Macaca mulatta: one gene and its partner. Each later gene encodes a partner of the first gene's protein in a complex. Links are inferred from orthologs where the notes say so. Each region holds a gene or a part of one and is shown on either strand. Other genes may lie near its edges. The genes, in order: TLR4 and LY96.

Evidence for each region.
Region 2: the proteins of TLR4 (region 1) and LY96 are in contact, whole or in part, in a crystal structure (PDB 4G8A), measured with the Homo sapiens proteins. The link is inferred for Macaca mulatta from reciprocal best matches to the Homo sapiens genes TLR4 and LY96. Residues at the interface, in NP_612564.1 of Homo sapiens: Gln39, Met41, Glu42, Asp60, Ser62, Phe63, Asp84, Ser86, Arg87, Thr110, Gly111, Val132, Val134, Glu135, Asn156, His159, Ser183, Ser184, Asp209, Leu212, Arg234, Val259, Glu262, Phe263, Arg264, Asn265, Glu266, Arg289, Ala291, Tyr292; in NP_056179.4 of Homo sapiens: Met40, Tyr42, Ile66, Pro67, Arg68, Arg96, Ser98, Asp99, Asp100, Asp101, Tyr102, Ser103, Phe104, Arg106, Leu108, Lys109, Gly110, Glu111, Thr112, Thr115, Thr116, Ile117.

What each region holds. Positions count from the first base shown.
Region 1 is NC_133420.1:40,572,962-40,576,878, reverse strand, and holds the start of TLR4 (toll-like receptor 4 precursor), read left to right. Parts: upstream 1-1,318; coding exon 1,319-1,411; intron 1,412-3,917.
Region 2 is NC_133413.1:84,569,123-84,572,994, forward strand, and holds the start of LY96 (lymphocyte antigen 96 precursor), read left to right. Parts: upstream 1-1,000; coding exon 1,001-1,112; intron 1,113-3,872. UniProt on the Homo sapiens protein: Binds bacterial lipopolysaccharide (LPS). Cooperates with TLR4 in the innate immune response to bacterial lipopolysaccharide (LPS), and with TLR2 in the response to cell wall components from Gram-positive and Gram-negative bacteria.

The DNA of each region.
Region 1 (3,917 bases):
TTAAAAAGGAAGGATGCTTTGATCTATACTACACAGAAATGAACCTTGAAGACATTATGCAAAGTGAAATAAACCAGTTACAAAAAAACACATACTGTATGATTCCACTTCTAAGAGATACCTAGAGTAGTCAAAATTATAGAGACAAAAAGCAGTGCATAGTTTCCAGGGGCTAGGGAAAGGAGAAATGGGGAGTTATTGCTTAATGAATAGTGGTGATTGTACAAAAATATGAACGTAATTAATGCCACAGAATTGTACGCATACAAATGGTCAAGGTAATACATTTTATGTTATGTTATGTTATGTCATGTCATGTTATGTTATGTGATTTTACCATAACAAGGAAAATGGGGGGAAAAAAAAGAAAGAAAGTAAAACTTAGTAGTTTACGTGACTTGACCAATGCCTCGAGGCCATGAGTCACCCAGCTGAGATCTGAACTTCAGTATATTCAATTCTGAAGTCCCAGACTTTTCCCAATCTTCTTGTACTTTTCAGTGTTTCACTGGAGCTTTATTTTCAGTTTTATATGTGAGTTTCTTCACAAGAAGAGGTGGACCAAATTGCATCCTTGCAAAAACTTATATATTGAGGTCCTAAACCCCCTGCCTCAGATTATGACCATATATGGAGAGAAAGCCTTGAAAGAGGTATGTAAGGTAGAATGAGGTCATTATGGTGGGCCCTCATCCAACATAACTGGTGTCCTTATAAGAAGGGGAGATTAGAATTTAGACACAGTTGCTGACATCTTGAGTTCAGACTGGAAGCCTCTAGAATTGTGAGAAAATAAATCTCTGTGGTTTAAGCCACCCAGTCTGTAGTAATTCATTATGGCAGCCCCAGCAAACTAATACAAATAGTGTTTCCACAGCTGAAACAAACTGGAAAATCACCATCATCCTAGAGAGTTGCAAGGGCTATTTTAACAGCATCTGATGGTTTTCCTAAATTCGCCAAGCCCAGACAGAGGTCAGATGACTTCCTGGGATAAAAGCCAACTAGCTTCCTCTTGCTGTTTCTTTAGCCACTGGTCTGCAGGCGTTTTCTTCTTCTCCTTCTAACTTCCTCTCCTGTGACAAAAGAGATAACTATTAGACAAACAAAAGTCCAGAATGCTAAGGTTGCAACTTTCACTTCCTCTCACCCTGTAGCCCAGAACTGCTTTGAATGTACCAATTGCTGTGGGGCACCGGCTTGAGGAAGAGAAGACACCAGTGCCTCAGAAACTGCCCGGTGAAACGGTGAAACGGTGAGCGAGCCACGCGTTCACAGGGCCACTGTCGCTCACAGAAGCAGTGAGGATGATGCCAGGATGACGTCTGCCTTGCGCCTGGCTGGGACTCTGATCCCAGCCATGGCCTTCCTCTCCTGCGTGAGACCAGAAAGCTGGGAGCCCTGCGTGGAGGTATGTGGCTGGAGTCAGCGCCTCTGAACTCTCCCTCACTTCTGCCCAGAGCTTCTCACTGTGTGCCCTGGTTTATTTTTGCAAAAAAAGAGTTAAATTACCTTAAAGACTCAAGAAGCCACAGAGATCAAGTAATTCATTGTTAAAGGGCACTAAAGGCAGCCAATGGGGGTTTGTTCCATTTGGAGATTTTGAGTGCTAACAGGTTTGTTCCATTTGGAGATTTTGAGTGCATTAGGTTACGTAGATCTGCGTAAGGTCCCTGCTCTGCTACCTTGTGGCTGCGTGAAAAAATTATCAAACCTGTCTGAGACTAGCTTTCGCATCTATAAGAGAATTATAATACCTTCTTCACCAGAGAATAAACAGACTGCTTCAGTGTCATTTCTTCCCACCGGTGGTCTTTACACTCAGCTTCAAGCAGTCCCCCTGCTCCTGTTAATCTCAGGAAGAAGATGGCTTTTGTGTGTGTGTCTCTACAGAAAGAACTTTCTAAGTGGGTGTCAGATTTCTGTATGCAGTCATATAGTTTAGTCCAGAGGATGAAAAAAATAAGAGAATGAAAAAGGAAAGGAGAGAGAGAGAAGAAAAAAGCAAGAGGGAAATATGTATAATATCAGCTATTGCAACAGTTTGTTTCTTGGTGAAATACCAATCAGCTGGTTGATAATCTTATTCATGATGGATCTTTTTTGTTTTTCCCCTGCACAGACTTCACAGTTGCTTTAGAAACCCATAGTAGAGCCGAACAGCTAAGAAAATGATTTACAGTGAGGCAGGGTCAGAAACTCAAGAGAGGCAAAGCCAGCTGCAGTCCTGAAGTTGAGGATAGGGGAGAAAATCAAGTAATATTTAGCAAAGACCAATTCATTATCTCAAAGCCATCCCTTCCCTCAATTCCCCGCCCATAGTCCTCCTCCTTGTCTTCTTCTCTGTATCCCTCTGCTGTTAGGTTAGTGGAGATAGATTTTCTAATTAGGCTCACTGCGAGATAAAACCACAGCCAACCTTGACTTCTTCTTTTCCCCATGTACGATTTCCTGTAAGTCCCTGAAGCCTGTCCATACCTGCCCATCCCCTTCTTGCCACTGTACGGCAGGCCCTCATTTCCCCTGGCGTTGACTCTTACACAGTGACTGCTTTCCTGATTCCAGTCTTCTTCCTTTAATTCATTCTGCACGTTCTTGTTTGTTATGTATTTGCATTTGTTGTTATTATTTTTCCTTAAGCTTTGATCTAACAAAATATCTCCTTAAAAACTTTTGATAACTCTCCATTGCCATTAGGACAGGTTTCTACCACAAGGCCTTTGCACTGGCTATTTCTTCTACCTAGAATGCTAGATCAGTGCTATCCAATGGCAATATTATGTGAACCACATATGTACTTTTAAAGTTTTTAGTAGCCTCATTAAAAAAAGAAACAAGTGAATTTAATATTTTTATTTAACTTAGCATATTTAAAATAATGTTTAAAATTTTAATATATATTTACCTATTACTGATATTTTACATTCCTTGTTTGGTACTAAATCTGGAATTTAGTATATATTTTACATTTACCATGCATCTCAATTTAGACTATTCACGTTTCTTGTGTTTAATAACTGTGTATGGCAAGTGACTACCGTATTGGTCAGTGCAGCCCTGGTCATTTTCATGGTTTAATCACTCCATTCAGATTTCTGCTTACATGTCCCCTCCTCAGGGCAGTCTTCCTTGATTGCCCCATGTAGAGCTCTCCAGCCTCACTTATTTGCCTCAAATTCCCTTTTATTGCTTTATTTTTTTTTTCCGGAGCACAACATTTTATATTTTTTTTTTTTTGTTTATTTTCTCTCTCTTCCTTTGTAACGGAATTGGCAAGGACCACTATATTTCCAGTGGTCAGCACACAGTAGCCACTAAATTTATATGTGATAAATGATTGAAATAATTGCTGCAGGACAAAGTCTGAGGCCCTCCTGATCTGGTTTGCCCTCTTACTTAGGTTTCACCACTCCTACCACTCACCAGCTAATCTAAGTTTGTTTTCCACTCTTTCCATGCTCATGTTGTCCTCTCCTTACGACATGTTTTTTCTTCCCCTTTCCACATATCTAAACCTTACTCATCTTCCGAGACCCACTTTAAAATCTTCCTTTTCTGGGAAGCCTTTCCTGAATACGGACTCGATCTCTGCTTTCTCTGAACCACAGGACAAATTTTCTAAGCCTATTTTACGGCCCCTTGAGACAGTATTAGCTTTGCTCCCATCTAAACTCTTACTCTAGACTGTGAGTCCATTGAAGTCTGGAGCCACATCGTATTTTTCTTTGTAATGCCCACAGCGCTTGGCAGAAAATGTCTACAATGTGGACTTAAGTAAACCTTCATTTAATCAGTTATTCAATCAGTTATTGATTCAGCAAATATTTATTGAGCATCAACCATTTGCCAGACACCATTCTGAGTGCCGGAGACAAAGCAGTGGGCAAACCCACTGAAACTTGCAATGGAGTACAGGA
Region 2 (3,872 bases), on another chromosome or scaffold:
GTTAGGAACTGGGCTGCACAGCTGGAGGTGAGCAGCAGGTGAGCGAGCATTACCACCTGAGCTCCAGCTTCTGTCAGACCAGCAGCAGCATTACATTCCCAGGGGGGAGCAGGAACCTTGTTATGAAGTATACATGCAAGGGATCTAGGTTGCATGCTCCTTATGATAATCTAATGCCTGATGATCTGGGGTGGAACAGTTTCACCCCAAAACCATCCCTCCCAATCCCCTCAGTCCGTGGAAAAATTGTCTTCCAAGAAACTGGTCCCTGAGGCCAAAAATGTTGGGAACTGCTGGTATACAGAGCTGTGGGAGAGAAGAGCAATGCAGAGGGAAAAGGAGTTCCTGTCTGTTGAGACTTTCAGGGGGACCTAGGGACTGGTTTTGTTACAGTTGACTGGGAAGCGTCTTGTTTATTTTATTTTATTTTTCATTTAAAATATTTTTCTGAAATGGAGTTTTGTTGCCCAGGCTGGAGTGCAGTGGTGCCATCTCGGCTCACTGCAACCTCTGCCTCCCAGGTTCAAGTGACTCTCCTTCCTTAGCCTTCTGAATAGCTGGGATTACAGGCGTGCGCCAACCGCACCTGGCTAATTTTTGTATTTTTAGTAGAGATGGGTTTCACCACGTCAGCCAGGCTGGTCTTGAACTCCTGACCTCAAGTGATCCACCTGCTTTGGCCTCCCAAAATGCTGGGATTACAGGCGTGAGCCACCACATCTGGCCAAAGTGTCTTGTTTTATTTTTAAGGCTTTGATCACTCTCATTTACAGTAAGTATTTGAAGAGTACATTCTAAATCATTTTTCTCTCTTCCTTTGCAGGAAGTGCTCAGATGTTAAGCACACACACACACACACAAAGAGGAAACAGTTGGATAGGAACTCAGAAATCATGTGACCGATGACTAAGTTAAATATTTTCTGCTTACTGAAAAGGAAGAGTCTGATGATTAGCTATTGATCCTCTTTGCATTTGTAAAGTTTTGGAGATATTGAATCATGTTACCATTTCTGTTTTTTTCCACCCTATTTTCTTTCATATTTACTGAAGCTCAGAAGCACTATTGGGTCTGCAACTCATCCGATGCAAGTATTTCATACACCTACTGTGGTAAGTAAAACTGCAAAACAAATAATTGTAGCATCAACTATTTTGAGGGTAAGTTTTCACAAGAACCTTACACTGTTGTGGCTGGAACACAGGAAATGTCAGTGTGTTCCAGCTGCTGTGGCGGACGCCGCCAGCAGGAAAAGCAATAGCTGGCAGCTACCCCGTGAGAATCTTTTCGACCCTTCACAGACTCGCGAGTCTCTAAACTGTGCTGTGCTTGACCTCCAAGTGCTTCTGTTCCCTGTGTCATCTTTCTCTACCCTGAGCCCAGTTTCGGGTTCTGCCCAGTTTCAGTAAAACCGTCTGCTTCTGAGCTTTCGCCTCAGCCTTGACACTTACTAGTTCTTCTTCTTGAGATGGTAGAGCAATCCCAGCTGCTTCCTGTAGTTGATTTCTGCTCCAAGCTGTGACTTTTGAGGGCTCTTGGAATCATCTCCCTAACTGGATGTAAGCCTGTTTCTGTCACTAGCTGTGTGACCTTAAGCAAAGTACTCCAGCCTTTTTAGCACTAACGTAAAAGTTTATAGCCTACTTGATAAGGGTGTTGTGAGGTGAAGTTTTTTAGCACAGGGTCACGTAAAGACAATACTCTTAATTTTTTTTTTTGGAGTCAGCCATACCCTAGTGCTATTCACTGGCTGTATCACTGTCCGCTGCCCCAGCTGCTCATTAGCAAGCGTCCTCGGGTCTGAAGGCACAGTGTCAGGCCTGACAGCTGTTTTGGTTCGGTACTTTCCACCGTGCGGCTCACCATGGATTGGCTGCCCTTTTCCACCCGCTGGCACTATCCGGAAGGTTTAAAGTGGTGCTTCCCAAAATACCAGTTCTTTGAGATTCTTTTGGGAAAATAGGATCTATGGCCTAATCATCTGGGAGAGATTTACAGATGTACTTTGAGTTCTGAGAAGTTCTGCAGTAAAGGCACCTGTTTAACCACAACATTTTCAATTTCATTTGTTGTTTGTTTGGTTTTTAGTCTGGAGTGTATGTTAACTCTCTTGAGAAACATGCTCTGCCAAATGCTAATATAAAGTGACTTTCGGGAAATTGGGATAATTGCCACATGTGAGAAGGAGACTTAGGAATGTGGCCAGTCACACACCATGGCCCTTCTTCTCCTGGTGGGTTGCACTGAATTCCCTCTCAACGTATCTCTAAAATCTCCCCATGCTACAAGATCCTTTTGCATTCCGCTCTTCCAGCAAGGCTCCTACTCTACTTGGCCCCCACTTCCCTTTCCTCCTTTGGCCCTTTTGTACCATGTGCGAATTACGCCACTCTGTGTGTGTGTGCATGTGTGTGTGTGCGCGAACGCATGGAGTTTTGCTCTGTTGCCAGGCTGGAGTGCGGTGGCATGATTTTGGCTCATTGCAACCTCTGCCTCCCAAGTTCAAATCATTCCCCTGCCTCAGCCTCCTGAGTAGCTGGGACTATAGGTGCATGCCACAACACCTGGCTAATTTTTGTTTTTTGTATTTTAGTAGACACAGGGTTTCACCATGTTGATCAGGATGGTCTCAATCTCCTGATCTTGTGATCTGCCCCCACCGGCCTCCCAAAGTGCTGGGATTACAAGCATGAACCACCTCACCTGGCTTATGCCACTCTTTATATGATCTTTATGGATATAACATTTTGTATTATTATTTAGCTTTTAGTCTTTTCTTAACAATAACTCAATTTGTCTTTTAAAAACATTTCACATTTTGTAATATTTTATCATTTATTTTTGAGACAGGGTTTTGCTCTGTTGTGCAGGCTGGAGTGAGTGGCATGATCTCCACTAACTGCAACCTACACCTCCCTGGCTCAGGCCATCCCCCTAGCTCAGCCTTCCTAGTAGCTGGGACTATAGACATGTGCCACCACGTGTCTTGGTTAATTAATTAACTTGGCTAATTATTAATTAATTATTATTTCTTTTGAGTTTCACTCTTGTTGCCCAGGCTGGAGTGCAATGGCGTGATCTTGGCTCACTGCAACAACTGCCTCCCGGGTTCAAGCGATTTTCCTGCATCAGCCTCCTGAGTAACTGGGATTATAGGTGCCCACCACCTATAATTTTTGTATTTTTAGTAGAGACAGGGTTTTGCCATGTTGACCAGGCTGGCCTCGAACTCCTGACCTCAGGTGATCCACCCACCTCGGCCTCCCAAAGTGTTGGGATTACAGACGTGAGCCACCACAGCTGGCCTAATCATTAATTTTTTTGTAGAGATGGAGTCTTGCTATATTGCCCAGGCTGGTCTAGAACTCCTGGGCTCAAGAGATTCTCCCACCTTGGCCTCCCAAAGTCCTGGGATTACAGATATGAGCCACTGCACCTGGCTTAAAATTTCACATTTTAATCACTTTTGAGTGTTTGGCTCAATTGTATTAAGTATATGCACATTGCTGTGAAACCATCACCATTGGTTTATCTTTTTATTTGACTTTCTAATTTTTTTTTTCTTTGAGACAGTCTCACTCTGTCTAGACTGGAGTGCAGTGGTACAATCTCAGCTCACTGCAACCTCTGCCTCCTGGGTTCAAGCAATGGTCGCGCCTCAGCCTCCTAAATAGCTGGGATTACAGGTGTGCACCACCATGCCCGGCTAATTTGATTTGACTTTATGAAGGAGGATCTTCCTACTTTCTCTCTGAGAAATCCTGTGGTCCTTTCCTGCTGCCCCACTGACAAAGGGACTGTGGGCAAGCCACTGGAATACACATCTACAGCAAGATGCTGCTTGCTGCCATCCCCACTGCCATATGACTGCC